Tribolium castaneum: one gene and its partners. The protein of the gene in region 2 binds, or shares a complex with, the protein of the main gene of each other region. Links are inferred from orthologs where the notes say so. Each region holds a gene or a part of one and is shown on either strand. Other genes may lie near its edges.

The links. Proteins that work in one complex are often made in the same cells at the same time.
Region 1: transcription initiation factor TFIID subunit 8 (region 2) and Taf5 share a complex: the UniProt entries of both Homo sapiens proteins name them as parts of the TFIID basal transcription factor complex. The link is inferred for Tribolium castaneum from reciprocal best matches to the Homo sapiens genes TAF8 and TAF5.
Region 3: transcription initiation factor TFIID subunit 8 (region 2) and Taf11 share a complex: the UniProt entries of both Homo sapiens proteins name them as parts of the TFIID basal transcription factor complex. The link is inferred for Tribolium castaneum from reciprocal best matches to the Homo sapiens genes TAF8 and TAF11.

Annotation. Positions count from the first base shown.
Region 1 is NC_087398.1:2,403,156-2,414,712, reverse strand, and holds Taf5 (cannonball), read right to left. Parts: upstream 6,108-11,557; 5' UTR 6,044-6,107; coding exon 5,987-6,043; intron 5,944-5,986; coding exon 5,358-5,943; intron 5,312-5,357; coding exon 4,984-5,311; intron 4,933-4,983; coding exon 4,776-4,932; intron 4,323-4,775; coding exon 4,002-4,322; intron 3,948-4,001; coding exon 3,438-3,947; 3' UTR 3,385-3,437; downstream 1-3,384. Other genes in the region: FMR1-interacting protein NUFIP1, read left to right, coding at 218-611, 661-1,244; heterochromatin protein 1, read left to right, coding at 6,574-6,831, 6,905-7,444; JhI-21 (large neutral amino acids transporter small subunit 2), read right to left, coding at 7,703-7,845, 7,888-8,149, 8,196-8,520, 9,308-9,449, 9,730-9,858, 10,939-11,398. UniProt on the Homo sapiens protein: The TFIID basal transcription factor complex plays a major role in the initiation of RNA polymerase II (Pol II)-dependent transcription.
Region 2 is NC_087396.1:13,177,693-13,188,055, reverse strand, and holds transcription initiation factor TFIID subunit 8, read right to left. Parts: upstream 6,467-10,363; 5' UTR 6,372-6,466; coding exon 6,233-6,371; intron 6,185-6,232; coding exon 5,898-6,184; intron 5,848-5,897; coding exon 5,697-5,847; intron 5,563-5,696; coding exon 5,276-5,562; 3' UTR 5,248-5,275; downstream 1-5,247. Other genes in the region: angiotensin-converting enzyme, read left to right, coding at 770-1,620, 4,106-4,559, 4,615-4,898, 4,947-5,247; tou (bromodomain adjacent to zinc finger domain protein 2B), read right to left, coding at 7,263-7,419, 7,474-7,782, 7,832-8,104, 9,975-10,096. UniProt on the Homo sapiens protein: The TFIID basal transcription factor complex plays a major role in the initiation of RNA polymerase II (Pol II)-dependent transcription.
Region 3 is NC_087394.1:5,380,517-5,391,859, forward strand, and holds Taf11 (transcription initiation factor TFIID subunit 11), read right to left. Parts: upstream 6,108-11,343; 5' UTR 5,680-6,107; coding exon 5,399-5,679; intron 5,356-5,398; coding exon 5,171-5,355; intron 2,691-5,170; coding exon 2,557-2,690; 3' UTR 2,507-2,556; downstream 1-2,506. Other genes in the region: protein crumbs, read right to left, coding at 1,822-1,886, 2,040-2,309, 2,355-2,388. UniProt on the Homo sapiens protein: The TFIID basal transcription factor complex plays a major role in the initiation of RNA polymerase II (Pol II)-dependent transcription.

The DNA.
Region 1 (11,557 bases), on a different chromosome or scaffold from region 2:
TGATCAATTTTTCATAAGTTATTAAAAATTAAGCAACTTTAAATTGTCAAATTTTGCAACTACTATTTCTTCTTTACTATCCGACATCTTCTATCACATGTGGGTTTGGTGCAAGACAACAAATTCTTAAATTGCTTCTTAATTTAAAAACCCATTAGTTGCACCAAACAGCACCCCCGGATTAAAAAATCGTTAATTTTAATTTTTCTGCAAACAGACGACCGAACAAGACTGGGACGACTTCGAATACGAAGAAAATCCAGAGTCTGAAGTGTTTTTTTGCGATGTTTGCGAAGAGGATTTTTATACGCGAGAGCATTACGAGAATCACATGTCGCAGCACCGAATATGCGGTGTGGATGGGTGCCAGTACACAGCGCCTCAAAAAATGATCGAAAAACATATCCAAATGCAACATTTGACTGGCCTTTATGAAAAAATTCGAAGTGTTAATACGCCCGAAGAAATCGCGAAATGGATCGAAGAACGAAAAGTTCGATACCCGAGCAGGGAAAATGTCCAAAAGAGGTACGAAAGACGGGAGGAGATGTTGAAAAGGGGGGAGAAAATTGGGGAGAGGAAAAATCGATTCGGGAAGGATAAGACAAGACGTAAGTTTTTGTTTGTGTTTGAGTCATTTATTTAAATTTTTTGTTACAGTGTCACGAGTCAGGCACAAAAAACAACAGCGGAAAAATGTGCCGAAAGTTGTCAAAAATCCCGAACAAGCGAAGCAATCTTTAATTGATGAAAAATGTGACTGGAATGGGACAATGTTTCCGTTTCGAGGCACCAAGGAATTATATAACGAAGAGGATGAGAAGGAAACGAGTGATTACGATGATGAGGAATGGATGGATGGTTCGGGAAAAGTCACTGTTGAATTAAATAATGCATTGGGAGCACTAATGGGTGCGTATGAGTCGGACCAAGAAGAAGAAACGCCTCAGACTGTCGATAATGACGCTCCAACTGAAGAAAAAATACAAAGAGAACAAGTAGAATATCCAAATGAACAAGCGAGTGATACTAAAGTCGTCAAAACAAACAAGCGGAGAAGATTATCTAGTGGTAAGAAACAAAAACTAAATAACAAACCTGAACCGGGTGGCTTTTCGCGAATGAAATTCGTTAAACGTAAGGTAACTCTGTTGGAAAAGTTGTTAGATAGTGAAATAAGGCACGAGCGCAATGTCTTACTACAATGTGTACAGCATGTCGTCACTAATAATTTCTTCAGATAAAACTGTGATCATTTTTACGCAATATATTTTTGTAAAGTATGTGTTATGTCTTACCTCCCGAACAAAAAAACCTCGTAAAAACAAAACTTTATTTACATTTTCTTATTGTACTGTCTTAATACTTATAAAAATACAAATGACTGCTTAAACGGCTGTTCCATAATTAGGCTAGTGGTCCGTTTGACAATAGTTGAATGGCCCTGGAACGTAAAAATTGCAGTTATTGCGCCGCAATAACAAAAGTTAATGATGCATATGTCAGGCGTAATGAAGGATGTAAACATACCGATGGCTAAATTTAGAGCAGTGCCTGCCAAACGTGATCTATATCGTGCCAGTGATTAAAATAGGTCAGGAATACTTACAGATTTTACTGCAAAAGTCCGGCATAAAGCACCCAAAGTGCTATCAATAGAGCAATAAGGATCAAGTAGGTTGTCAGGAGGTTTCCGGTTTCGTTTGCGTTTGGCATGATACTGAAACAGACGGATTAATTGTTGCCAATTGCAATTAGAACATTTCGTTTCGGTGTAATTCAATTCCATGGAAGAATGTGAGCGAGTGCCAATATATTTTAATAAGCGAATAATTTGGAGACGTTGGAAAATCAAAATTTATGATAAATGCCGGCTATTTTTAACCACCACTTCAATAACAAATGGGGGTACCCATATATGTAACACCCACACCCAAGTTTAACGTCTTAAGACCTGGAATTTTTTCCTTAATCCTGTCATAACTATTTTAAAAATTGATTAGTAACATAAATAATTTCATGTTTATTGGATGGTTTCCAGAATCGATGTATTCAATGCTCTCAATTCATTTCGTATTTTCCGAAAACACTTATTTTTAACACAGGTATGCAGTATGTTAACTTAGCCGGACATGTTTATGATTTTATTTGTGCAAATTATGCAAAGCCCCACCGGCCAAAGCTTCAAGTGCACCATATTTCACACAAATTGTGAAATTTTATTTTTTTTTCCAGTTTAATAACTAGTTTAGGAAGCAACTTTTAATTGCGATGTTATAATTAAGAGCGTAAAAATATCTTACTTAGTGTTGCAGCAGCGATCGGGAATCAAATATCACTCAGATGCTTCTAACGTTGTCGCTTAAGATGCTCTGCTTTCCAGGACCTGGCTGAACGCTGCACAGCTTTCAGCTAATGACGTATTATAGGGGGTGGGGTTTACTCCATCATCCCAACCGTAAACAGTTTCCAGATATTTTCAAGTGTTGTTTTTGGGTTTGCTTATGCTCGAGTCATTTTTAGCACACGTAATGCGAATTTTTGAGGTACCTTTTTCAAATAGTTCATTCGAAAAATAGGTACGTAAACAAGTTCACTGCCACACCACTGGCATTGTTCGCTCGATGATATTTTTACAAAATATGTGTTTACTTTGATTTCGCTTGTTAGGCTTGAGGTAGGTTAGCTGGATTTTTTGGGCATTTCGGGCCCTGCCGTAGTTCCACATACGGTGTCTTATTAATTTTAATTATAACGAAAAGGGAGAAATATTCGGAAAAAATTACATGTATAGAAAAAAAGTAATTAATACTTTTGAAATAGTATATTTGTAAATAATACTTTTAGCAGACTCACCCTGTACATTGGCTTAATGAATAATTTCATATCCTTTGCCTAATTTTTAGGTAACGTTATTCACAAATAAATTAATTTCAAACGCAACAAAACAAGCTACAAACATGTACATTAATTCAAATAAAAGTTAAAACAAGCACCTTAACATTTATTTTGTTTTTTAACAACCAGTCAAAGCGTAAAAATTTGTAACGATATTAATTTTCTATCACAACAAATTTGTTTCGAAAATAAATCCTTGTTTATATTATTCTTGATTGGACGCCAAAAATACGTCTGTTCAACCAAAGTAATTACTTCGACGTACAAGACCATTACTTTTTTCTTTTCAAGTATTGAATAACCGACTTTATCGGTGTGAATATTAATTATAAAAATGTTTGATTCGTCATAGAGAAATTATGAATGTTTTTGGCAAAAGTCCTGGCAAACATTTTTAATGTTGTTGACACTGTTTATTTTCAACTCGGAATTCTATTTTAACATTTTAGTGTTATTTCAAGCGATTCATAAACCAAACCCCAAAAAAATCGTTAAAAAATTTATTTCTTATCAAGGTAAATAATACACATTACAATAAACTAAGTGCTAACACCATCAAACATGCTAACAGCCAATAGCAAATTCCTCCTCGTAAAGTGAAGGCTGATCAATGGCGAGCTCTTCGTCGCAAAACTCCTCAATAAATAATCATCCCCGATCCTCACATCGGGATTATGCGACACATTTACTTCCTCCGAGCTGATTTCCTCAGTCAGTTTGGTAAAATCCCAAACTTTGAGCAAACAGTCCAACCCTCCTGAAACTAGAATATTCCCGCATCTGCTGAAAGCAAGTGCATGGATGGGCTTCTCATGCCCGGTGAGTTCTGCAACCAAGTGTCCATGGGACAAGTCCCAAACCAACACTTTACAATCCACCCCCGCGGAAGCCAAAAACCGCCCACAAACACTGAACGCCAAAGACATTATGGGCGATTTATGCCCAGTCATAAGTCGGACATGATTTCCCGTCGTACAATCCCACAAACAGACGCGGCGGTCGCTGGAACCGGTCGCAACGTAATTGGAATTTGGGTGAAACTGGACGCACTACAATTAATAATTTCTGTAAAAAAATATTAAAAAAAAATTGATAATTTTTACATCGACGTCGGAGAAATGACCGGCAAATAATCGCAACGGTTGGTAATGGTCGGTGGCCCAAAGTCGCGCAGTGCGGTCGTACGACGCCGAAGCGAAGTAATAGCCCAAGGGAGAGAATTTGACGTCCCAAACGGGGAACATGTGTCCTTTGTAGACCACCAGACAAGTCCATATTTGCAACGACCATAATCTTATTGTTGTGTCTTCCGAACAACTGATAAGGAGAGTCTTGTCTGGGGAAAATGATACCGAGTAAACAGGCCCTGAATGGCCGTAAAGCGATCTGGAAGTCTCACCGGACCTTTCATCCATCATTCTCACCTGCATGTTGAAAACATGTAAGTTTTTGGAACCTGGCCAAGATGACAGATAAGTTGCTATCTTGGCAGATTTCTTTAAGTACACTGTTTAAATGAATAAAAATGATACACCTTCCAGTCATTTATTTTGCGATTTTAAACATGTTGACGGTTTCCACACGGCAACGACCTATTTTTATCGCTATTTATTCAAGTAGTCGATTAATTTAAGTCGGTGTCTACTTTATCGACTTGATGGGGGCGAAAACTAAAATCTCAACTTAACTTTGAATATATTTAATGTTGTATTAAAAAAATGAGTGATTACTTTTGTAGTAATAATAAAAGTCTTTTCTGAACAAAAAATTGTAATCGAAATTACTGATTTAGTTTTACTTATCGTTTAATTTTGATTGATTATATATTTTTTCATGTACTTTATCGATTTCATTATTAAAAAAAAATGTAACATTACCACGACATCCTCTACGTCAACATTGACATCCTCCAGCTGCTCCCCACTTTTCATAGCCTTCAGTTTTTGAGGCACAAGTGTCCAGACTTTAACAATTGAATCGCTGAAACCCACCGCCAGCATACTCGAATCTTCGGTGATTTCAGCACAATTAACCCTAAAAAACCCCCGATAAAGAAAATATTTTCACTGAATAAACTCAACTAACGTGTGATTGGCGTTAAGTAAGGTGTAACAACAAACTGAAGGGAGGTAATCCGGGCCTAACGTAACTCTCTTTGAGGCCTCTCTGTACGCCTTCACTTTTTCGTACTTATCGTGGTCTCTCATGTCCGGGACTGGAATTCTATCAGGCGGTGGAGCGTTTGGGTCATTTTTTGTTTTTTTCGAGAAAAGTGGGTCTTTTTTGGCTTTTTTCTTCTTAGGTTTGTCCGGATTGTCCTGTTCGCCGCCTTCGTCCTCGTCTTCGACTGGCGCTGCTAGTGCCTGAATGTCGGGGGCTTTGGGGATGCCGTAATAGACTTTGGTTTTATTATCTGGAATTTTGATGTGTTTATTGTAATTATGATAACGAAAATGAACCTTGTCGTTTTGCCTCTCCCCCAACGGCACCTGACGTGGCATCAATCTGGCTTTTGTTCCTCGCTACGCCTTCGTACATATCAAAGTAGAGATGTTCCTGGATGATGTTCAGCAAAACTGACGCTTTTTTGTCGTTTAAGTGACGTTTTAAAAGTGACAAAGTGTCACGCGACATTCGAATAATAAACTGGTTTGATTTGAAGGTGTCTGTCAATTCGTTCCCGTTCATATGGTCCCGTTTTGTGACCAAAGCCAACTTCCTGAGATCCTCCTGATAGTACGAGTCTTGTTCGGGGCCAAATTTTTTCATTAAGTTTATCGCTTTCTCCGTATGTCCATTATAAACCAATTCGAGGTACATGTGGACCAAAACTGGGTATAAAATCATGCCTAATTCGTGTTTGTAAATGTCAAGGGAGCCCTCAACAAAACGCTTTAACTCCATGTAAGAGTCCTCATAGGTTTCTGGATCTCCGTCACTCTTGTACCCCGTCAGAACGCTACTAACGTCTGAATTTTGTTGCAAAGGGCCATCAGCTATGTTATTACCGAGATTGGCCTCCTTTCGTAGCAGCTCCTCAGTGCCCTAATGAAAAATGTTACGTTGTGCTTACTCGCCATAAGCTCACCTTTAAATTGTATTTTTTCAAAATTTGCAGAACGGCTGCAAGTTGAGATTTTTCCATTTCTTCGGCGCTCATTTATAAACTCGTAAAATAATAAATACAACACAAACTGACGTTTCCCTAACCACACTTTAATGCAAATGACAACAATCAATAACGCAAAATTTCCCTAAAGCCTGCCATTCAACGTCGATTTATAAAAAATCTAGGCTTATTTCGCAACAATCCGATTTTCTCTTCATTCAGAGAGCGCAGTATGAGAGTTGTAACTCCTGGCTATATTTTTTAAAACTCTGAGAGTCGTTTTTGGACAATTTTTAATTGGTTGAATTGTGTTGGCACCATTTTTTTCTTAACCGCCACCCGCCATATTTCCAGCGCCATTAAAAGGATCTTTTCGGCGGTGTTTTGTGGTGGCTTTTTAAGAGCCAGAGTTGAAAGTAAGTAAATAACGGCTCCAATCGCATTATTATCCACTACCTTAACTAGTCAGCATTTTAGTAACGAAGTTGAATGCAAGCAATACTTATTGTTCCAGAAGTACGCAGTCAGCATCGCTTTACCGGTTATTCGCAAACAAAACTGCAGAAATGGGCAAAAAGAAGGTAGAAGACAGCGAGAGCGAGGAGGAATATTCAGTTGAGAAAATTATCGACCGGCGGGTCGTAAACGGAAAGGTCGAATATTTTCTCAAGTGGAAAGGTTATAGCGAAGACGATAATACTTGGGAACCCGAAGACAATCTCGATTGTCCCGATCTCATAGCGGAATTTGAAAAGTCGCGCAAAGCCAAGGCGAAGAGGTCTTCCACCACGAAAAGTGCGGACGAGGATAGTGACAAAAAAAAGGTGGGTTTATTGGATAAGCCAAGCAAAAACCAGCCCACTTCGACCCGAAATCTATTTAATTGTGTATCCCTAGAAAGAGAAAAAATCCAAGGACGGTGAAGAGAAGTCTGAAAAGAAATCAAAAGGCAGGCCCAAGAAGCATGCGGTTGAAACGGAGGACTCCGACGGCGAGCCCAAGTCGAAGAAAGCTCGCCGTCGTTCAGATTCCACGGACGAGAAAGAGAATTCAAAAAAAGACGCAGATTCCGACGACGAAAATGGTAAAAACAAGTCTGACTCATCTGACGACGAGGATAAGTCCAAGAAAAAGAAGAAATCAGAAGGCGATGACGACGAAAAATCCAAGAAAAAGCGAAAGTCTGAGTCGAAATCTGAAAAGGGGAAGGATAGTTCATCCAAGAGTAAATCAAAAGTCGGCTTTGAACGGGGCTACCAAGCCGAGAAAATCATAGGAGCATCAGACACCACAGGACAGCTGATGTTTCTGATGAAGTGGAAGGGAACCGACGAGACCGATTTAGTCCCAGCTAAGGAAGCAAACGTCAAGTGTCCACAAATTGTTATTCAGTTTTATGAGGAACGTCTCGCTTGGCATACTCCCGATGAGTCTTAAGTTGTTTCGTCATGAAAATCCTTTATTTTGGTAGGATTCCAGTTAATTTTTTCCGTAATAGTTTTCTATCGCCTGCAGTGTTTTATATTAAGATATTGTTCATTTTTCATGTTTCTTTTTTTGTAATAAACCGTGAAAATATTCACACCATTGGTTATTGAAAGAAACAGTCATGTTATACTGCCATACAGGTATTTTTGCAAATACGACACTGTAAAAAATTATAATTTTTATAAATAAACCTACAATTGAAATAAATTAAGAATGGGACAGTGTTTGTTCCGCTTGTGGTGAAGTCACGTTCATAATACTCTGGAGTATTTCCGTCAATTTTCGCGAAGTTTGGTTGAATTTTTCCGGTTTATTTTGCCACTTGACGCATAAATAATACACAGGGATGCCTAAAAATGTGTTATTTTTGTCAAAATTCCGTAATTAAGTACCTGACAGCGTGATGGCCACTCCAATGACTGTGTTCCACGGCTGCGAGGGTATGGGGAATATCACAAGAAACGCGCAACAGAACAAAAATATTATTGGGATACTCATGTTCACTCTAATCGGCCTTGGCATATCGGGTTGCTTGTATCTCAGCCATAACATTCCCGCAATGCTTGCCGCCACAGAAAACCATAATATTTGTCCGTAGTAATTTATCAGAACGAAGACATCACTGACTAGAAGCATTGCTAAAGAGGTTACACACTAAAAATAGGGCATTAAAAATTGCTAAACTTTGGGGGATCATTACTGTGAATATCAGTGAGGGTATGGGGGTCATGCGTTTAACGTGAATGAAGGAGAATAAGTCGGGGAGATGTCCTTCTTGAGATCCTGTGAGGAACAGCCGCGAAGAGGTGAACAGAATTCCGTTAACTCCGCCAAAAGTGGACAAAGCGACGAAGATTGGAACTAGCCAGTGGAAAGAACCGAACATTTTGAGGCCGAAGGAGACCGCAACAGCCGGCGAACTTTCAATTTCCATTCCTGATAACACGGCGAAATAGGCGACGTTCGCAAGGACGTACACGCCGGTCACCATGGGAAGGGCGATCCATATGGCACGAGGGAGGTTCCTGAAAATGTGTAAGTCAGGGGCAATAAAATCCACCATTATTCTACTAAAGACTCAGTTTATGATTGGGGACTGAAAGCATTTTTATCGATCATTAACCGCACGTGGCTTTAATCGAAAAATAAAATTGATGTTTCAATAAATAGAAATTGGGAAAAAATTACACGTTGCTTAATAACTTCTAAGCTGACGATCAGAAAAGTGATAAAACCCATCAACTTGTGTTATCAAATTCAAGGCTGCGTGTATTTTCTAATTTTGTAATTTACTCTCACTTACATAACAAGTTAGGCATTAAAAAAAGAAAAGTGAAAAACTCGTATTCAGTTCGGAGATATTTGACTTCGAAATTTACATTTAAATTCGCAGCGAACAGCGCCTTGATGGTAAATTCTCGCACATAATTGCATTCTTTTAATATTTCGAGAAGTGGAGCGCACAAGACGCATCCTCTCGTCCTAGATTTAAGTAGCTCAATCAGGTTAAAATCACGTTCGATTTATAGCGGACGTTTGAGTGAGAAGAACTACAATAAAATACTTTTAACGGTGGCGAGAAAATACAATGTTTAATTCAAGAATCCCTTCATCCATTTAAAGATCACGTCACTGGTTTTTTCCTTCCTTAAGCAGTCTTAGACAATTACGCCCGAATTCAGCCTTTTGAATCGAATTAACCGAGTTTGTTAATCAGATTCGTCTCATTTCCCATCATCCATCAAAGTCGTATTGTGCGATCCGGTGATTGAATTATTTCGCTTGAATGTATTAAATGAGTCGCATACTCACTTGTACGGATCTTGGAGTTCTTCCGTTACAAAATTGAGGAAATTCCAGCCTCCGAAAGCGAACAATCCGGAGTAGAATCCGAGTGCGAGTTGGGAAATTTCGTAATTTCCCTCAAACGCATTTTCGAAATTCTCAGTGTGACCTGCAAAATTTCAGTCGGCGAGGTCAAGTGCGACTCAACTCAAGAAATTAAATATTTGATCGCATAAATGCACTGTCGGGACAAACAGAATTAATTTGTTAACTCAGGGCGAGTCCAGTGAAATGTTAGAGTTGCTCGGACGAATGATTATGCAGTGAGCAAGTTTGCGAAATGAAAATTCGATTTAAGTGTGTCAAGATGTAAAAAGCATCAGGTGAAGGGAATTCATGTTTGTGGTCACGCACAGGCAGTAGCGACTTTATTGTTAATCTCTACTTACCATTAATTGCTACATCGTAAAGTCCTGTGAGAATGATCACAATCAGGGCTAATAGCTTAGCTGCGGTGAAGACGCTTTGTATTCGCATAGCCCATCTGACGCTCAGGCAATTAACTGCCGTCAGAAGACCTGAAATTGAAAACAATGGCTCTTATCAGCGATTTGTCGGGATTGTGTCTCAGAAATAATAAAAATTTGTTTCTCTAAGCAATGTTTAATGTCAGAACTTTCTCACCGAAAAACTATTTGTTTGTGTTATCCACAAAAATAATTTCTTAAAAACATCACTTTAACATTGAGAAAATTAAACTGTTAAATAATATCGAAAACAATTATTTTTGCTCTAAACTACAGATAGCGCATTTAAAAACTGCAAGTGTGTGAACTGCTATAATGGTTTCTCAACAATGTAACGTAAAATGTGATACAACTAATAATACATTGGGAACTTGCATAATAAAGTAAACATTAGAACGTTCAAGGTTATATTTTTTCATAAAAGAGTGGCACAGCCTGACAACTTTTATGCTTTTGTGAAAAGGTGATAGGTGGGATATAATGGTACTGGTGCACTTTACTTGAAAAAAAACTAATGAAAAAATTTACATGCATAGAGAAAAAAATCAAAAATTTAATAGCAAATGCTGATTTCTGTGTGACTAATTAAATTGCATTTTTTAATAATAGTCTAAAACTATACGTTTAGAAAATTTTTAAATATTCTTGTAAGACAACTAAAATTAGAACTTCAGAAACAAACAAAAAATGAATAAAACAATAGGCAAGTAGGTATAACTTTAATAATCGATACAACAATAAAACGGCGGCAAATAAATAAATATGTGGACTGATAGAGTAATTTATTTAATTATTTATACCTTCCAGCTAGACAGTGAAATGAATAATGAATGTGCTTTCCAATGTGCAAATAATTTAAATAAAAAAGTACGGATCTATGTTGCTATTGTTAAATTTGAACGCATCACCTCAATTGTGACGCTGTTGCATCATACTTTCTTCGAGGGAAATGTGGGCGCCCGACGTCACGCAAATCCATATCCCTCGTTTTTACGCTATTTCATCAGCAAATTAATCATTTTCAAGTAAAAAAACCAATATTTTATCATAATTTGGGCGGCTGAACCCGTTAGTATCACCCTTTCCCGAAAGAGGTCACTCCTAGATTCAAAAATTCAAAACCGGACTTACACAAACAGGCCGCCGCCAAAAACCTGACGGCGTTTTCCGGAGGCTGGCAGTCGTCGAAGAAGGGCTTGGCGGCGTACTGTGCGAAGGTGAGGGCCACAATGGCCTGGGTGGTGGGCCGGATAATCAGTAGAGCGATCCAGAGGCGCAAGAACGCGGCCAAAGGCCCGAACGCGACGTAGATGTAGGCATAGTCGCCCCCGGACCTGGTGATGGAGGTGCCCAACTCGGCGTAGCAGAGGGCGCCCAAGGTGGAGAAGATCCCCGAGAGGCACCACACGATGATGGAGACGCCCACCGACCTGGTGCTCAGGTAGACGCCGGTGGGGGAGACGAAGATGCCGCTGCCGATGATGGTGCCGATAATGAGCGCGACTCCATTCAACAATGTGATTTTCCGCTTGAGTTTGACGGCGCCGTCGGCGTCGCCGACGTCTCCGTTGGGGCGCGAGCCGGAGGTCATGGTGCTGGGGCTAGTGGCGGGGCATTTTGGGGGTTGGGACCATGTCGGGAACACGTGGTCGATTCACTACTCAACGCGGTTTGGGATTCAATGCGTGGTTTACGTTTACGTTTATAGTATTTGTTGGCGCGTTACGAGGGACTTGCGCAAAGAGCGGCA
Region 2 (10,363 bases):
TCTTTTTTGTGACTTTTAGCAAGTTTTTGACCGAAAATAGACATAATTTCACCTTTACGTTCATCTCTTTTTCTCTTAAAACAAAAGGTATTTTCCCCTTCTTAAGATGTGCCCTACGAAATGTAATGTTCGTTGCTTCAAAAATTTTTTAGGCTCATTATTACTCGTAGACCAGCCTGTATTAATTACGTTAGCTGTTGTTCCACCTCTCTGACGCTGAATAAATTATGCGCAAATAAAAATGAAAACAACATAACTATGAAAAGAAAGTGAACTACTCTTATTTAATTATTGAATTCCTGTCTTATTTGATTTTATGTATTATGTAAAAAAACTAACAAACTAAAAACAATCTGCAGTAAGTCGCTACCACATATTTTCATATTAACTTTGTTTTGGCCAAGGTTATCAATTACAAAAAGCAACATGAGCCTAATGGGCATATACAGTCAGGATTTTATTTTGCTGAACATTGGTGTCTTTATGAAACTGTTTGCATGTACTTTTTAAAACTGATCACAGAATAATACAATTAATAGTATTATCTGCGTTATGTAAAGTTTCGCGAAATAAACTCTGTACCACATAATATGGATCGAAGATCTCAGAACTCTAGTAATACATTGATATGAATTTGACTTCAGTTATAGTAGCATTTACAGATGACAAACTATGTTAATCATGGCTTTTGTAGTAACATTTCTCCAAAAATTGCCGTAAATAAAAAGTCGCTGCCCGTTAGTTTAATCCAATAACCGTTATTATTTAGGGTACGAACGTAAACTTAGGCGAAGCATTGCAATTCCTGCGTGAATACGACAGCGAGGCCTCCAGAATATGTCACCGCGTCAGTTCCGCCCGATGGACGTACTCAACCAACATGACCGACTTCAACAAACGCAAAATGATCGAAGAGCAAACCCTCCAAGCCAAATTCAACAAACTCTCCTGGAAGCGCACAATGACTTTCGACTGGACTCGCCTCCCGGACCAGATGGTCAGGCGCCAGCTGAAATTCCTGATAACCAACAGCCGCGCGAGCCTAACCGACGAGAAATACAACGAGATTTACCACCTCATCTCCGAAATGAAGGACATTTACAGCCACATCAGGATATGCCCGTTCAACAGCCAGGAGAGCCTCTTCTGCGACCTGGAGCTGGAGCCGGACGTGGTCCGGATCGTGGGCAATTCGCGCAACCACATGGAGCTGGCCCATGTGTGGCGGGAGTGGCACGACAAGGTGGGCCCCCCGATGAAGAATAAGTTTATGAGATATGTGCAAATCGCCAACCAGGCCGCGAGGATGAACGGGTTTCTGGACGCGGGAGAGGAGATGAGATATGTGTATGAGGAGCAGAATTTCGAGATTGAAATTGCGCAGACTTGGGCGAGTCTGCAGCCGCTGTACCGGGAATTGTTCACTTATGTGAGGAGAAAACTTTTGCAATTTTATGGGCCCTTTGTGGTCCGGCCCGAGGGGCCGCTGCCTGCACATCTTTTGGGGAATGTTTGGGCGCAGGACTGGAGCAAGATTGTGGACTTGGTGGCGCCGTATCCCGAGTTTAAGACTATTGATGTGACTGATGAAATGCTGAGACAGGGATTTACCCCACTTAGGTAAAAATGATTATGTTTAAATTAAAAAAACTGACTTTTGGTTCCCAATCAAAGCGCAACACTTTTATTAACACCATGTGATCATTTAAATTTATAATTAGCGTCAGAGACGCATTAACCAAGAAGCTAATAAAGCTGGCGTTTTAAGCGCCGAAATTTTTTTTAGTAGCAAATTGTTTGGGCGTTTTTATGAAATACTCAAATTGAAGCACAAAAAATTACGGGACTTTGATTTTTTTTAAATACAGTTTAAGATATAATTTTTGCACTATTTTTATCTCCTATTATTGAGAATTGAATGCTCCATCTGCCTGTATTTTTTATTCGCCTTGCGCTAATCGTTATTTAATTACAACTATTTTTATAAATTTATTGCTTATAAAAGACGGTAGACGGTAATGGAGCAACTGCGCCTTTGGCGACATTACCGGAACTATCGAGGATGGGGACGTTTTATTTGTGTGTCGTATCCTAAGTTTTAGATATCCGTAGTTTTAACATTTTTATTGTTGGTTATTTCAAGTTATTGTAAGATAGGAATTAATATAAAACCGCGGTAAAAAGCCAGTTGTTTGTAGATAAAATGGATTTAAAAAAATATCGGAAGAGTATCGTCAAGTGCAGCACATAAGAAGCGTTAATAGAGTCAAAAATAAAGCCATGGCAGCTGCTTTAGTGCAATTTCATACATAATGCTGAATATCAAAAAGGCTCAGGCCTTCGGTTACCGATGTGACCATCGATATTCGAAAGGGAGTTTTCTCTGAGAGAGGTGTTATAATGTTTCACGATAAGACTTCCCTTAATTTCGCGTTATGGGTTCATTTGTTTTTAATGATAAATTGCCCTGTGATGCCGCTTTAAAAATTATAGACGAAGATGGCAAGAACGAAGACTTTTATCTAGTATTCCCGAGTATGGCGTGTATTTTGAATCACTATCTGAACTTAAAGTGAGAAAACATTTCTATTTTATTTTTTTATTTTATTTGTAGCAATCGATTAACACTCGAAAAGAACACAAGAAAAGAAAGAAGAGAAATTATTCATATTCATTATTATAATTTTCTTCGATTAATAAAAACTGTGTATTATGGGTTTAGTTGATTTTTTAACATAAACAGGTCATAATTATCACACAATCCTTTGAAATTCATCAGAGCTTCCTAAGCTGATGGCAAAATTTAACTTTTTAAATATGTCTTAATAATAATAGTAATAATAAATAATAATAATAATACAGGATAGCCCACCAAAAACGACAGGTTATCTGGTATTTATACTAATATATTAAAAAAATACTCGGACAGGTTAATTTCTATTTTAAGAGGACATCTTTTAACGTCAAATAGCGAATTTTAACTTCAAAAAAGGGGGTAGATTTGATAAAAAAAATGGTGGTGCCGTATAGTTTTGCTTTTTTAAACACCTTCGAAAACAAGGTCAAAATGCTTAAAAAGTGTTGTGTGTTGAAGGGACTAATACAGGCTGTCTCAAAATTGACGCCTGTGCTTTGGGAATTTGATTCAGGGAGCTAACACAAATGAAAGTTAAGAGTAAAAAATTTTCCAATTGTCCTTCGTTATCGAGTTATTGATAAAAATGTAAATAATAATAAGGTTTATGCTGTCTTTCCAATTATTTGTGCAACATAATTCATTAGTTTATGTTAACGATGTTAAAATTCTTTGAATCGCTCTGTCTAGTGACAAGTATTATTAATTTTCTTCGGTTTTGTGTGTTTAAAACATGGAGGTAAGATAAAGAAGACACAGCATCACATCACTTATACTGCAGCGTGTTAATCGATTAACGATTGGCGAGGGGTACGCGGGGGGGCAGTGTTTACCTCCATTGTAAGCGATATTAACAAGGCAGTGGCACATATTTAAATAGCAGTCAGGGGTTCATAGGCTGTATTAGGGGAAAACATTGTAAAGACGCTCTTTAACAAAGATCGATAATGGTAACAAAATAAACAATTACCTAACAAACTGTAGATTATGCCACTTTTGAAAAAAACGATTCATTTGTCTAATTGAACATCCCTTTAGAAAATTAATTGTCACGCCACTGACCACAGGTGGAATGTTAGATTCACACATATGCCATATTGGCCGCCATGACTGATCCAGCTAGGTCAAATTTGAGCTCAATTAAAATGCTAAGTTACCTGTTTTTGCATTTTTCATATTTTTTTAAATAAAAGAATTACGAATTTTATGCGTTACTTTAATCTCACTCTGTATATCAATTATATATGGCAGTAATATACCAACAAGTAAACAAAAGGATACAATACTACTGCATTACAACATTCGAGATTTTTCGATATGTTAAAAGCTCGGTTATAAATTAGGTGTGTGCACATGCGGAAAAAATTCCAAATCGCATATTAAAGCACGGGCGTCAATTTTGAGACAGCCTGTATTGGAATGTAGTATTAGCGGGTGTTTGAAAGTTTTAATTAACAAAACCGTTTTCAGAATGTTTCAGATGGCCGAAGAGTTCTACACATCTCTCGGCCTCAAGCCCATGCCCCCTGAATTTTGGCGTTTCTCAATGTTCGAAAAACCAAACGACCGCAAAGTACAATGCACGGCAAGTGCGTGGGACTTTTGTAACCAAATTGATTACAGAATAAAACAATGTACTGAAGTAAACATGGACGATCTAATTTCAACACACCACGAAATGGCCCACATTCAGTACTACCTGCACTACAGCGAACAGCCCTATCTGTACCGAGACGGGGCCAACCCTGGCTTCCACGAAGGAGTCTCGAACGCAATCTCTCTATCAGTCTTCAACCCGGTGCACTTGCACCGAGTCGGCTTATTCAACGAAAACACCGACAGTTACGAAACCAACATCAACTTTTTGATGCTGATGGCTTTGAAAAAAGTCGCGTTTGCCCCGTTTGCGTATTTAGTGGACGCAGTAAGTGCCAATTTTCCCTTTCACAGTTAAATAATTAAAAAAATAATTGTTCCAGTGGCGTTATGAAATTTTTCAAAACGGGGTGCAAAACATGAACGCAGTTTGGTGGGAATTGCGCCTGCGCTACCAGGGATTAATCCCCCCAATCCCTCGCACTGAAAACCACTTCGACGCCGCTGCAAAACGCCACATTCCCGCCGATATTCCGTACATGAAATATTACGTCGCGCTTTTGCTCGAATTCCAAATTCACAGCTCGATGTGTTTTGCTTCAGGGCATGTGGGGCCGTTGCATAATTGCGATATTTACCGGTCGAGGGAAGCCGGACGCGTTTTATCGTAATGACTGTTCAATACTTGTAATAAAAATTAATTAGATATTTTTAGGGACTTGCTAAAAGTCGGGAAGGCCAGACATTGGAAAGAAGTGATAAAAATGTTAACTAGAGGACAGTCGGATCGCCTGTCTGCTGAAGCAATGCTTCAGTACTTCCAGCCCTTGATGTTGTGGCTCAAAGTACAAAATCGGAATGAAAGTGTGGTCGGATGGATGACAAGTTTGGAAGAGGAGGCTTTGTTCCAGCCATTCTTGTTTGCAACAAGCAACAAAATTGTGTTTGATTCAAATCTTGTTATATTCATTTCTATAACTCCGATTCTTATAAATAACTACATGTTGTATAAATAAAAAATTTAAACTTATAATTTAGTCTTACTTATGACACCTCCATTTCGTCCTTTTTAGGCAGCTTCGTTGCGGCCAAATACGGATTATCAATGTACCCATTTGGGTTTGTGTTTTCTTCACTTTTTGTGGAATCATTTAGTGTTTCTTCAGTCTCTTCTTCTTCTTTATTTTCAGCTTTTTCTTTCGCTTTTTGTTCTTTTGATTGTTGCATCATTTGACTTTTGTGGTCATATTCGAGGTCTTCAGGATCAAAAATTTGATCCTGGGGCAGGAGAGCGCTCAAGTAAGGGGGGTACGCAGGCTTACAAGCTATCACTAAAATATTTCAATTGCTATAGTGGGTATAAAACAAAAACGTAGTCAAGAGTGCTCTGCAACCAATTTTTTCCAGAGCACTATTGACCACCACTCACGAAATAAAAATTCCAAATAAAAAACGGACCACTTACGTGGAAAAATATTCGCCTCATCTGTGTCAAACAAATTATGTGTGGGGTTAGTCTTGGCAAGAAACTTCGTTAACGCCTTTTCTATGTCTTTTTTCTGAACTGCCGCTTTTTCTCTCACTGATTCGTAATCAATAATTGGTTGTTTGTGTGTCTGTAATAGAACAATAAAATATTTGACGCGCCCCAACAGCACAAACCTACAGGAGTGCGAACGTAGGCGTGGGGGTCCGGAAACTGGGGTAAATGCTGAGGGATGTAAGGGGGTAAAGGGTGCTTCGAGCCAGCTGGTAACATATTTAGCTGCTTCTGGGGCTGCTGTGGTTGTAGTGGGGGTAAAACCGAATGCTTCATGCCTTTTGTGTACACCATCAAGTCGTTGAAATTGTGCCCCATTTCCACAAATGCTAAAATCACGTCGGCCACCACGGGCTCCGAACGGCCCGACAACTCGCAGTAGCTTTTCGAAAGTGCCCCCACTTCGGTTAGGACTGCAAGAAAGTGTGCTTATTTCGCGAAAAAAGGGTTGAGGGGCTTACAGCACTGGATCATTTCTGTTAAAGTACCGAGGCTTTCTTTGTCGGCCGTATCGAAACCAGACTCCATTAGAATGCTGCAGACTGACGCTGCTAACATTTTTCGGTAAACGTTTACTTGCTGGGTGGTGGTTTGTTCCATTTTTTAAAGTTTAAAGCAAAGTTTGTTGTTATTTACGTTCCGAAAAGTTAAGGTTATAATAACGTTTGACAAATGACAAGCTTGTGTTTCTGACCGAATCACCAAAGAGCCGAAATTTAAACATCCATACGCGGGAATTCCAAAAATTTCCAACGTGTGGTTGGAAAACAGGGTAGTAGCGGTTGGAGAGAAATGAAAAAAGGCGACATTTATAAGTAAATATAATTAATATAAATATCTTACATTAAAATACATAACCTAGTTCTATGAGTTGCAGTTTAGCGCTGCAGAGAACTAGCCTACCAAACACATTATTTATTAATACATCCTTTCCTTTGAGAACTATGTTCAGCTTACATAAAAACATTTTGTAATAGGCTAGAGAGACATTTAATTTAATGTTGAGCGATGCAATTATGTGAAGAAATTTCTTTACATTTTATACAAACTCTTACTCTAATTTATTCACTGTAACTGAACCAGACTTCAAGTCGGGAAACTGAAATTGAGTTAGAAAAATAAATAAATAGAAACCACTGAACATTTAATGAACAAAATAGTTATCCTAAATAAATAATTAAATAAAAAAATACACAATTATCAAAAATACAAATTAATACAAATTGAGAAACCAACTAAAAATCACATTCTTGTTTAAGTCAATTCATTAAGTGATGCGCAAATCCAAGACTTTAATTGCATTCAAATAATTACAATTTCCGAACGATAAAAAGCTGAAGTATACATTTTTAAAGTCAATATCACACACTGGAAATACCTGTACTGTTTTTCTGAAAAAATTAGTTTGTATTCACACCTCATCGCAATTTAAACACTGTTTTCCGGGGGCCGCATTCTTCGATGGTAAGGTCTTTTGGGATAAAGTAGTCCTCAACTATTTGAAATACTCAGCTCGTTCCACCGAGCTTCGAAAAACTGGCGCATGCAGTGGCCTGCCTTTCCCACAGGACTGTCGTCCTCGTTGAACACTTCGCAGTTGTTGAAAATCTGTCTCACGTCCAGAACGAACTCCTCTTTGGATTTATAACTAGAAAAACGCCCAAATAACTCACACCATCAATTTTCAAGTCAAAACACCAACCTCACATCGTACAGTTTCTTCTTGATCGTCGACAAATCCATCGGCGTTTTGATGATTTTTTTGTAAGTGGGAAACTGCTTCGTATTCACCGGAAGCAAAAAGGGCCACGCGTCATCATGGCACTCCAAATCCTCCAGAATCGTCTTGCACGGCGCGAGTTCTTTGAGTAGTTTCTTCGAGATGCGGTCCTTCTTGCACGTTTGCGTGGACGGAGAGCCTGCGTTGCCGAGACTCGAGTTAGAGACGTCGCTTTGGTTGCAATTCGTTGCTTCTTCGTTCGTCGTAACGGAACTATGAGACGGTGCGGGACTGGAGACGCGACATGTTAATAAATAAAAAACGAAAAATTGAGAGGTACCTAGAAGGAGGATGGTCGGACAGTTCGCTATCTTTGCTAGACTTTGCGTGGTTTTTACGCATCGTCTTCTTCTGAGGCTTTTTCGATATGCATTTGGAACAGTACCATTTGCCGCGAGGAACTTTGTGCATGATGGGGTGAATGCAGTCGGTGTGGTAGGCGCGAGGACACAGTTCGCATAAAATCAGCCGAGTGCCAGACGTCGACGATTTCTTGCCGCAAACGATGCAATTGCGCTCGCCTGTCGCCTTGTTCATGCATTCGTGGCAATACCTACACAAATTAATTTTTCGTTCATTTACTTATTAAAAAAATATGCCTCTTCTAGTACCTACTCTATAATCGACTAGCAAATAGTCTCTTCAATAAAAATGGCCTTGTATATTTCGAATGTATGTGTGCGTGTCTTTTATAATCGCGAAGATTTCGGTAAAGTGTTAACATTTACGTTACACTTAAATAATGAGCTCAAAATATATGTAGACCTCAAAAATTCACCCCCCTGTATACGTGTATTAACTCTATCCAAAAAAGTTCAAAGGAACGCACCAAAAATCAATACATTAGGAAAACTTCGTTATTTATTTGCAGCAGTTAATTACATGAATGGATTATTTTTTGTTACAGACGAGTTATGACGTTATGAGCATTCTTATCAATTACTGATGTGCCGTTTGATTTCATTCAGTTTGTCACTTGCTGTAGTCGTGAACACACACCTCATAAACTTATTAAATAAAATAAAAGTTAGAGTTTTGCTGGTTACGATTTTCAAAATATAGAACTATCATCAGTGATCAGTGCGTGTTATGAATTTTCGCCGTTCAGTAGTGCGCGAGTGTTTACTGTTTAGTGTGTGCCAGTGGAATATATTTCTGGAGAAAAATTGTGTTTGGAGGATCAGGATTAAAATGTTAGTCGGCAATAGTTTTCTTTAGAATAATTTCTAGTCAGTATTTTGACAGAGGTTGAGCATGATTTCAAATCTTTGCTGTAGCGTATTTAACTGTGAATATTCTTCGAAAAATGAAGATGATACATAAAACGATTTTCATTTTAGAATTGAGCGCACAAAATGCGTTTTATCAACTTTAAAACGGTTCAAATTAGTGAAAGAAAGCATGGGAGAGACTGAATGAAACAGAATTTGAGTGATCTTTTATCAATTAAATGTACACTTTTAGGCAAATAAAACTATAGTCGAATAGAAATACCATGAAATAAAACTGAAACGAAAATTTTCTCGGGTAAAGTCCACATCCTGAACGAAAATGAAAATTAACAATTGGGAGTGATTTTTATGAAAAATAAATAACTTTAAAAATTATTAAAAATTATAGCGCTGCAACACTTATGTGAGTTTATTAAAATTACTTAAAAAGTGTAAGAACGAACTAAATCCTCCTAGAAAAAAATTTGATAGCGTATTTCCAACTGTACCAGACACTAGAAAAATTTAAAAGCAAATGTTTTTCAATTTTGTTAATGTAGTAACACAAATTGTAATAATAATAATAAAAAAGAAAAATTCTTTAATGACGTCTTTTAGGGCCTGAACCGTCAGACATAGTTACAGTGTCGCGGATTTTTTTGTAAAAAAATTAATTCTCTAATTTTTTTCTTTAATATGTAGTGTTGATTTTTAAGTGCAGTTTTCATAGCGTTTTAAGAAAAACGGCACATTTTTAAGATTTTTTTTATTGATTTTGTTCTATATCGAAAACTTCTGACCAAACATTATTATAGATATTGTTAAAAATATAATTCTCGAGGTGAAAGCAATTTTATTAACTCAATTGTTCCTTTTGGAGCTGCCTAACAATTCTAATGAAACTGATGGTAACCACCGTTTTTTGTGTGTTATCCCTTATCATTTTTTTTTAACAGAAACAAGTATTTTAGATACCCGCTTCAATAAAAAAAACCGTAATGTCTGAATCTGAAGAACACGTTGCGATATGTAGTTAGAATAACTAACAATAAATAATAATAACTAGATAATTCGTTTCTTAGAAAGAAAATAGTTTGAGGCAATAACCACTTAGTTCCTTATTTTTTGATCAATTAGTTAAATATTTTATTTAATTGGAAACCGTAACAAAAAATATTAACAACTGGGGCAATAAAATAGCTAAGTACGTACCAGTCACCTTCAGGAATATTTTCCATCTTGGGTTTAAAACAATACGTGTGATAGCCCTTATCGCAACCATCACACAACAGGAGCTTATCTTCGTTGTCTCCACTGTGGCAGAACTGGCAGTTCTGTAAAAAACCTTACACTTCAAACACTTGACTCGCCCCTCATTTTATTAGTGAAAAGAAAATTAGGTGCAGACAGCCATTAAAATTAGTCAAAAAATCGAGCTGTTGCTAGTAATTAAATAAAATTAAATTTGACTGTATTTAAATTAAGAAAATATGTGGTGAAAAATGAAACTAAATCTAAATCATCATGCAATTGATTCTCATGCAGTTAGTGTGTACCGACTTTTCACCACACATTGGGCAAACTAAAAAACTAGAAAAAGC
Region 3 (11,343 bases), on a different chromosome or scaffold from region 2:
ACAACTTTCGCATAAATTTAAAATTTTCAATAATTCCAAAATTTAGTTTTTTAATAAACAAATGGAATCTTTTTCTCTTTTAGCATTTGTGTGCAGAAAAAGACTAGTTTGAAACGAAGTTCGTTCAAAATAAAATTAATACTTAATTAATAATGCTAAAGAATTCTATGCGTGCGCAAAATCAAGAGCTTTCTAATTGGAAGTTATGTTTCTAAGTAGTGATGAATATTTTTCCAAAGTTACGACAAAATATTATCACAAAAACGGTGTTGTTTTTGATAATTGTAAGTTGTTTCTTTTTTTGTTAAAATTTTCGTGTCGTAAGTTATAATAAAATTGTTACTCAGCATAATTTTTGAGTCCCGTCCGTAATCTCACTATTTTTTATTTTTATAATACACTTCCGCGTTATTACCTGGTTTCATGAAAAAATTATTCACAATATTTCTGTTATGTTTAAATAGATCTAACATCTTTTTGTTGTTTCGAGAGTATTCAGATTTTTTTTCCTTTTTTTATTTGGGAAAAAAATTGAACGCCAAGTTATTTCATTAAACGCTAAGTACTCGTAGTACAGTTCGTAAACGCTGGGTAAATAACACCAGAGGTGAAAATGGTAATTGCTTAGCAATTCCACGGTAATTGACAACTTTCGCATAAATTTCAAATTTTCAATTATTCCAAAATTTAGTTTTCTAATAAACAAATGGAATCTTTTTTTGCTCTTTTAGCATTTGCGTACAGAAAAAGACTAGTTTGAAACGAGGTTTGTTCAGAAAAAATTATACTTAATTAATAATGCTAAAGAATTTTATGCATGCGCAAAATCAAGAGCTTTCTAATTGGAAGATATGTTTCTAAGTAGTGACGAATATTTTTCCAAAGTTACGACAAAATATTATCACAAAAACGGTGTTGTTTTTGATAATTGTAAGTTGTTTCTTTTTTTTTGTTAAAATTTTCGCGTTGTAAGTTATAATAAAATTGTTACTCGGCATAATTTTTGAGTCCCGTCCGTAATCTCACTATTTTTTATTTTTATATTACACTTCCGCGTTATTACCTGGTTTCATGAAAAAATTATTCACAATATTTCTCATATGTTTAAATAGATCTAACATCTTTTTGTTGTTTCGAGAGTATTCAGGTTTTTTTTTCCTTTTTTTAGACTCAATTTTTACTAGGCGCATTCGTGTCCCGTCCGTAATCAAATATTTATAAAAATTTTGGGAAAATTATCTGCATGTATTTAATTGTTAATCATTGGCGTATGTTTAAATTAAAATCATCACTTTAATCACTACTATTTTTTAAGACAAGCTATTTTGATAGTAAGAGATGATAATTATGTCCCGTCCGTAATCATGGAATGGCTGTGCTATTATTTATTTATTAGTTTATTACTTAGAATTTCGATTATTTTACTTAGCAGTTTATTATTTTCACAGTTTTTTTGTATACATTCTCGACCAAAATCAGCTCTTACGCACAAAACATTTTTATTGACGTTTTGATTTATTTTGGATAAAACAAATCTTTCTTTGATAACAAATATTAAACTAAAGTAATTCAATGATGCAGTCGTAGATAATATATTCATGTATAATGGCTCGAAAATTGCTCACTTGCTCAGTGCGCTCGTTCGGGTTCTAAACAATTCTCCTGTAATATGCCCTACATTTTGCACTCATTTAAGAACATAAAATGTTTTGCTTATTTGTTGGTTTCTGTAATTTTCGGAGGAAATAATAACACCATTAAAAAACGCATTTTATTTAATAAAAAAATACAAAGGCACGAACAGGGCACTGGTGGCGGTCGTCATATTTCTATGCATTCGTAGGGGAACACGGCATCAGTGGGGCCCACCCCTGGCGTAGGACATGCTAGAAAAACACAAACAATATTTATCGAACTAGGAAAATCATTGAGCAAGTTTGAGTTGTCGTGTCAAAGGTTATCACTCGATAATACCAAGAGTCTAAATAAAAACTGAAATTTTCATGACTGCAAACAGGGATTGTTTGTTGTTCATATACCTCTGCTGCACCGCAGCCCGAAATATCCCGTGCCCTCACACCTGCACTTGTACTTGGGCCTTTGCGAAATCTGGATGCAGGAGCCCCCATGCAGGCAGGGGTTGGGGTTGCAAATGTCCCTGCGTTTGCCCCGGAGGGCGTTCTGGCACTCGGCCATCGTGTCGTAACGGTACTCAGAAATGCACCCAAACCCGCAAGAACAGGCCTTGTTCTGTATGCGGCACCCTTGCTTCGTCTGGTCCATATCACAGGCGGTGCACAGCTCCAACCCTAAATGATCGTTTGCAGAATTGAAAATAACGTGTGCACACTTACCTAAAACAAACACCACTATGACTCTAATCAGCATTTTGCTCGAGGGAAGCTGGGAAGCGACTAAGACGCGTCCCTCCGTGATAAGAGAGTCGTTGGCCTCTGCTTCCCACTCCCGGCCGATAATGCGGGGCTTGTTCGTAAGTAAAGCAACATTAAAATAGAAAAAGGTTTATTACGTCTAAAAATAATTCAAAGCGTAAGTCTAGAGGCGGAAGTGTGACCTGTAGTCTCTTCCGCTGGGGATGGCCCCCTGGAGGCGCATCCTCCGGACGGCTTCCCGCAGGTGCTTGGGCTGCAAAGGGCCCGACTCCGATTGTTCTTCCATTACGTCCAAAGCTGGAAAATGAGGGTTTGGTTACGAATGCAAGGTCGGGACGAGTCATCTGGTTTTAATTTGGTGAGGTTTTTATGACGGAAATGATTATCCAAATGATTGAGCTTCTGGCGGTCATAAGTTCAAAACTATCAATTTTGTTTGTAAATAGTGACTTAAAATTTCCTTTCAACAATCTTTAAATAAATATTCCAGCGTGACGATATCACTGCAACGGTGCATCAACATTTTTTACAGATTTTTCCAGGCTTGGCAGGGAAGGTAGGTACTAATGCATCTCCAAAAATAGATTTTGTTTGCCTTTTTTACAAATATTTACAATTATTAATGACAATATTAAAATGCTTTGCGACATGAATTTTTAGAATTAAAGTTAAAACTGTTAAAAAATTTTTACTCTCAAATTATTCAATATTAGAGGTTTCACTGTATCTAAATGAAATTATCTGGAATATGTAGACAAAAAAAGAAACATAAAAACCGATGTCAAACTTTTCTTAAATCATTGAGTAAGTTCGAAAATGTCTACTAATTTCTTTACTCAATTAGAGCACTAGAACTATTAATATTTACAAGAAGATAAGATACCCCGGACGTATGAATGATCTAATTAATTAAAACAATTGTGTGCATTTTTTCGTTATTAGAATACATTTCAGAGTTGATGTCACGTAACGACAATTGAAAAGTGGTCTTGGATCCGTTAAAAAAACAATTGTAAGTTTTGTGTTAGTTATTCGTAACAGTAATAACAAAGTGGTTTAAAACTCACTAATTACAACAAAAGTGGGTGTCATTTATTTAATAAGAAGTCGTAAGACTTCATTGCAGAAAGTGAATGAAATTTTGGTAATAAAAAATTAAACTAATCCGAATTAAATTATTATTTATTTTACATTGTTAAGCATCAAATTAAACAGGAATAAAAATCTGAATTTGTGCAAGTTTAATTAAATTTACCTAATACAAGTCTTAAGTAATACTCAAATCTTAAGAAAATTGCAAAAAACGGAATAAATTCCGTGATATAACGAAACCTTACTGACAGAATGTAACGCAAAAGGCTTCATTACTTTAAATAGAATAAACGTGAAAAGTAACAGGATAGATAGATAACAATTGGGAATAATTATTATGTCATTTTCATATCTTTAACGTATAGATTTTGCCTCCGACTTGAGTTATAAAATCGGCAATGCTCCTAGTTATTTTTTAATTACGTAAATGAGTATTAGTGAGCAAAAATGTGATTGTACAGTGACAAAGAATGATTTTTCTAGTAGTACTGTATTTAAAAATATGTCAATTGAGACTTTATCAAAAAAAATAGATTCATCATTGATCTGAAAACGAAGGGCATTTAGAAATATTGTACATTGTTTGTTTAAGTTTGTTTTTTTAATTTACGACGTTGCAACTTTTAACTCAAAAATTAAAAAAACTTAAAAATTGGCACTTAATAGGCAAATGGGCAAAAACAAAAAAAGCTTTTAGAAAAATCTTCTAGTTTATGATTTATTGTTTTTTACTGCCATTTCCTTACTCATATCTGTTTGCTATTTAAAAATATTGTTAGAGGCGACCAATTGTCTTGAATTTATTATTTATTATCGGTTTTTTATTGTAACAGTAGGGCACAGAAAAGAAAAATTTTTTTCAAAATTATAATCTTAGAACTTTTGTTTAACTGCGACCTAAAATTTCAAAGCACGGCTCCAAGACAATTTTTTATAACTCTTCAAATTGATGTTTTTTTCCTGTTCTTCGCTAAACCAAAAGGGCATTTTAAAAAAAATAGGGAATTAACTTTTTTGTAATTTTACATAGTTATTTTTTTTACTTTTTACATAGTCCACAGTGCAATGGTTCGTTAGACCACTATTCCATAAAGAAAGTCTTATCGAGCGTAATAATTAATTACACAAATACTTACATGTTTGATTTTTTTTGCACACAAAAAAAGAGTTTGACATTTCTAAGTCTTTGGACTGTTTTACTAATTTTTTAGAGTGACACCACTGCCGGAAAGAGGTGTGTAAGCTTTTTCGTATCGACTTCTTTTGAATTAATCAAAAAAATAATAATAAATTTACAGCTTAAAGAGTGCTTTAAGCAGTGGCAACTGTAGAAAAAAGTTGTTAATACGTATTTTCACGTTATTTGAGCTTCCGAATGTATTTTCAATCTCGAGCTGATGGTCTCAATTGTCAACTAAAATTTACCATAATTTTAGTGGTCAAGGCACTTATCTTCACAAAAATAAAAAAAATTAAACTATTAGACGTAATTTCATTGGAAAGCTGTCTGGTTAATACTTAAAAAAATCATAACTAAAAAACTATTGGGAATTTGGAGATTTTCTCGGCGCCCATCGATTCCTCGGATCATTTTACATAGGCTTAGACCAAAATAATTCCACATTTTCGAATAGTTTTGGTGTAATAGAGAAAATAAAAAAAATATTTTTTTGAATTATCCTCACCTTCCTCCACAACCTCTCCAACAAAGACCTTGGCAATCCCAGCCATAGCAATGACCACATTCTGGGAAACAGAACACCCTGTAATCGTCTGCATCAGCCTTTTAATTGCAGCTTTGGGAAACGCCGACCTCCTGTACATCTCATATCGATCCAGCTGATCCTCGGTGAAATTCGAGACTAGAACCCTTACAACAAACCCTCAGTAAACCCCACTTTACACCAACTTACTGCATTTTCTCGCGCTCTTCCTCCTCCATCTCCTTCCTAGTCTTCACCTCTTTCTTCTTAGCCGGAGCGCTGCTACTTTGAGGGGCTTCCGGCATTATTATATCCGACTCCAGGTACACATTTTCTTCGTCTTTGATGTGAATTTCAGACGTGAGCTGGGTCTCCTCGACTTTGACTGTCTCCACAGTGGAGTCGTCGTCTTCGTCCATGGACTCGTAGTTGGGGTCAGCTTTGATGATTTGACTCGTGGAGGCTGGAGGTTTCGCAAAAATGTTGTCCATTGTGTCTTTTTTTCACATTATCTATTTATTTTTTTGGAAATGAAGTAAGGTTATGTGTTAATTTTGACAGAAAAAATGAGCGATCGCTGCTCCCTCTACTGGTAGTTCTGTAGTTCCGTGCAAATCTGAGGTGGCGCCAGTGTCAAATTCCAGTCAATATATCACACTCATATTTGACAATAATTTTGTTTATTGTGTGTAAAATAAGGCGAAGTAAATGAAACGATGAATTTCTCTCGAGTTTGAGGCCCAATTCGCAGTGATAAAAATTGTGATAACGTGTCGGGTCGATTCGTCGCGGTGAACGACACAAAAACGCTTTTTTTTCGTTGTTTTATTGCGGGACCAGTTAATTCGCAATTAACCGCTTTTGACAATGTTCTAGTGTGATAATCGTACGAATTTGGCAACAAAATCACGTTGTAAGTATCCCAGTTGGTGGCTTTTGTTTGCTGGATGACAACTGTCAAAATGTCAAATCGGGCCTGGAGCCCCCTTGATCACCCAAGCGTCCACAGCATTGTGTGCGAAACCGTTAGCTGGGAACGCTTGGAAAGGCACGAAATTGTGGCTATTTTGAATTTTTTCACGCAGGTGCTCGCCGACTGCACGCAGGGGGCCTTAGAGCGTTGGATGGGGCTTGCTGTGCCCCAATTTTCTTGCACTGGCTCCCACTTCAACCACCACCATTACCCCGCTAAACCAAGAAGGTGAGTCGCGATTCCACGTTTAGATTATTTCCCTGAAAAAATGCTCAGTTATTTGCTACAATTTGTGGGGACTTCAAGGGTCACAAGTACCTAAAGTTTTTTTAAAATTATTTAGATCTATTACTTAATTTTGGCCACCCCTGCTTATGACAACAGTTATTAAATGAAACATTTATTGATTAATTTAGAAAATAATAAAATTACAAACTTTGACCTGGGGACATATTTGTAGCACACAACTTCTTTATAATACAAGTTATCTTTCGAAATTTCTTTTTTGTGAGACTTCAAATAAACTACTATTAACTGCACAAAATGTTAGGTGGGATATTGGTGATTTACGGCACGAGCCTAGCGAGTGCTGCATGAATTGCGAGTTAGGTACAATTTTTTTTTTGTATTATGTATAACTTTTCGTAAATAAGATGATTGTTTCTACGTAGCGATACGTAGTAATAATAGATGTTGATGCAGAGCAAAAAAAATATTTGATTATTTTCGATTTTTGTATATCAAACAGTCTTACCATTAGCGGAATTGCCCCTCGCCAGACTTATTAAAAATGAAAGAAACAGACTGGTGGGAGCTGTGTAAAAGGGATGAAAATTTACAGCAGGTGCATAAAGTTCGTACGGTGGGAATTGGGGATGTAAAATTGCACGAGAGCTAAGTGCACATTGCAGAAGAAAAACGAAAATCGTAAAGTTTGTCGGGACTGTAGAAATAAACGTCAGTGTTATTGCTACTGAAAAGGGGAAAATCTATAAAGCTTTATGTGAAAGGTTTCAGATGCAATTTTCGTGAAAGAAAAAAAAAACAATAAGATGGGACGAGACATTTTGTACTAATTATAAATCGGAGTTAATTGATATTGATTTTTTACACCCACACAACAAATTTAATTAATTTCCGTCACAGAATGAATTAATGTTTGGTTTAATAAGTTGCGTTTTAAATGTTTGGGATGAGGTCGGTTTTTTGTTGTTGCATTGTTCTTTGTTTTGAACCGTTTTAAATAAATTACCGATCAGGTGATGGACATTGCATGTCGGTTAATTAACTGTTTTTCCAGTTGTTGAGAGAACTGTCTATAATTTTTTGCATGAATCATATACAGGTTGTTCCAGCTATGACTTTCTCAAGTTATATTTCTGTTATTATTATTAATATGTGGAAATTCCTCAGATTTAAATTAAAATAAAGCAACGTTAGTGAAGAAAACACATCTTATGAGTTATATAAGTTGAAGGATTTTAAGAAACTAAGCTCTTTTAATAAATTATAATTATAAAATTATAATTCTTTTTTCTATTTAAAAAATATATGAAAAAACTATTAGTGATTTAACCGAATTTGAACTTCTTTATTAGGCTTCACAGCAATTATTTTTTTTGTGTTTTTTTTGCTTAAATATTTGATAAGCGTTTACTTTTACGAGAAATTTTTCTTTCTCTATGTCTGTGTTTTTTTTTTTCAAAAATTTTACCCTTTCTTCTAATTAAAATTAATTAATCAAGGATGTTAATATCAATAAAATTAAAAATATGAAATGATGTTTTCGAGAAAGAAACTCTTACAAAAATTTTTGCTAGCACCAAAATTACGTGTATTTCAAATTTTTTAATGATTTTTAACACGAAACAACATTTGAACGTTGTCACAAGAAATAGCAATTTTTTGTAGCGATTTGAATGTAATTAATTCTAGAAAAAATCTGAAAAAAATTACAGGTTTAGAGAAAAATACAAAGGATTTAATACCAAATGCTGAATTCTGTGCGATTATTAGTTTTCGTAAAAATATATTTTTAGTATACTCAGGGCCAGTTTATAGAAAGCTTCATCAAATTTTAATTCGTTGTTAATACTTAACAACGCGAAAAGACCAATCACATTAGCTCAGTTTAGTCACGTGATCAGTTTTAATCACTCATTTAATTGCGAATTAAATTAATGACGCTTTTATAAACCGGTCCTCAGTCTCTGTTTTTTTTTTTTTTGAGAATAAAGCGTCTAATGTCTTTAGTTACATTTTTTGAGGGATATTTTAGACTTTTACATTATTCAATGCCACCAACTTCATTTCAAAGCCAAGTACCACTTTGCTTTCAGTTGAATTCCTGATCAGAGCAGCCTGTTATTATAAAATTAAGTTGGCAACATAAAAAATGTAGAAATACTGAATTTTGTAAAACGTCATTTTTTATATCTTTTGTTTCTGTATTATACAATATTGCCAACTTGATTTAATAATTATTGGTTATTACACAAAGTATTTACAATATCAAAAGTATATATTTTTTATACCTCAAAAATTAATAATCGCACAGACATCAGCTTTTGTTATTAAATACTTTATAATTTTTTCTGTGCATATGACTTTTTTTGATTTATTCTACAATTTCTTCTTGTCAAAATTAATTATTTTAATAATAAGTTGCTGCATATTTTTTTTTCGTATATCATTCTAAAAGAAACGATTTTTAAATGTTATTTTGCACCAAAATCTTAGAATAATTGCTGCTAGCTTCCGTAAGTAATTAATTAAACCAAAATTTGAATATGAAACAAAAGTAATTTTGGGGCTTGCTACAATTTTTTTACGTATTCTTCTCACAAAACATTTTTTTAGTATCTGTTTAGAAATAATAATTTCGATTGCATTAATATTCCAATATTTTTAATGAATATCTTCTGAACGCATTTTTTGTAACAATAACATGATAATTGTTTTGAGTTTTAAACGATTGGTCAGATTAAAAAATTTTAGCACAATGAAGATTCTTATGGTGTTTTCGTTTGTTTGTGTAAACCTGTGTTGCCAAAAGATGGTTAAATTTAGATATTTATCTTTGTAGAAATAAAGTGCTTTTATACATATTTTTTAAATACATCGGACGCACATGTGTAGCGTTTGCTTTAAATAAAAGCGTTGAAATTTTGTGACGTTAACCCGAATAACGGTTTTCTACGTAGCTGTTATTAGTCAGCAAAAATACAAAACTAACTAATTTACTGAAAATACGTTTTAATCTTACTTCAATTCAATTGTATTGAATGAGCTTATTGTCAGTAGTAATTGGAGGTATTATTATTTATTAATTTATTATTGCAATAAAATATGTAAATTGTCGGCTCCACTATTGTAATGTTTTTCATAATTTGTGAATTTTTGAAACAATAACTTTTCTGGCACGTAAATGACGTCAGGGAAATCTATGACAAATTTCATCAATATTCCACAATAAAATTTCAACTTTGAGTCGCATTATTCTGTGATTTATCCGCGTTCAGTGTCACTGCCAACAATTTGAAGTGATCGATAACTGGCGCAATAAATGTGTTTCCCGGAAAATCCGGAATCGTTAGAGAAAAGCCTCTTTCCGGCATAACTCGTTCTTCTTTTGAAATAATTAATAGACGTTGTAAATGACGGCAACAGTACCGTTTTGTTGCTTCTTTCCGACAATTCTTCAACAATTGCCGGTTTTCCTGTAATGATACTTTTTTGGAGTTGGATCAGAGACAATAAAATGACAGTGCTTTCACTCAAAATCGGATGGGTACCTAATTATTATAAAAGCATTTTCTAGTGTTCTGTTTTAGAATAATTGCGAATAATTAGCTTGTGCTCGATTTAACGATAATTTTAAGTTGAATTTCCAGATCGTGTCAATGACACACTAATCAAGTTATTTCTTGGCTGGGAATTTTTTATTCGGTTTACCCACAAGATACCGTTGGAGTTACAAGGTTTTAGTTTAATAATAATAATTTAATCAAGTCCATTGTTTCTATGTTTTGGGTGGAAATGTTGATTGAGTTGTTGTTGGGTTCAAGCACTCGATAATTTCACCCAAATCTGATTAAAATGTCCGGTCTGAGTCAGACAATTGTGCAATAAAATTTAAAAAATCTTTGAGAAACGACGTGTGACAATGGAAATGAAAATTTCACTGTGGTCGTAACAAAGGGAGTTATTTTTTGGTAAAAGTGAAAGTTGGATGCCTAATTATAACCGTGTCTTAATAATGTAATAATAAAGCATTTATTTGATTTAAATTAGATGAAAAGCTGCAAAACGACTAATAATTAATAAAAATGCATAGAATTATTCACTTAAAGTAGTTGTTTTGTGTTGTTAATTTGCAGAAAGCGATAAAGGCAAATGGTAAAACAATTAAATCAGAATATAATGCAAAAATTATGGTATTTTTGATTTAATTACTAACAGTAAGTGAAATTTACAGCCGGATATAACAATAATAATGGAATTTGTGTTGTAAAAAAGAAACAAAAAGTTGGAGCAATTCATTAGTGTTGCAAGCATGGGTGCGCAAAATAATTTCATTTTGTGAAAAATTAGTTGCTTTTAACGATTCGGTTTTAATCGCAGGGTTAATAATGCTTTTACAGGTTGTTTGTAATTGTTGATTGATTTTTTAATGTAATGTTTATTGTTCCAATTTTTACTGTTTACAGTGTATGTTTTCAACAGGAAAAAATGTGGTTTTTATTGTTTATTTCCAATTTTTGTCCAATTTCACTCTTTCTCATACATATTGTAACAAACCAAACAAAAAGTTCACTAAATTTGTTCGATTGTGTTGCGAAATTTGCCAAAAATAAACTGAAAGTATAATAATAATATCGTTCGAAAATGCAACAAGTTTTGCAATTTTACCGCGTTTGTGAGATAAAAACACAGCTTTTTTGCTAAATCTTCTGCCGTAAAATCATTAAATTTGATTGAAAACGAAGTTTTATAATCATTTTTGCATTTTTTATTCAGAAACGTAAGTAAGTAAACTATTTCATAAATTTTCGTTCAAAATAAGTCAAAATCGCTAATATGGTTTCGAAATAACAATTTTTTTGACGTTTGTGCCTTTTTTTTTATTGAGAAACATAATTATTTCGCGAAATTTCGTCAAAAATAAGCCGAAAAATCACAA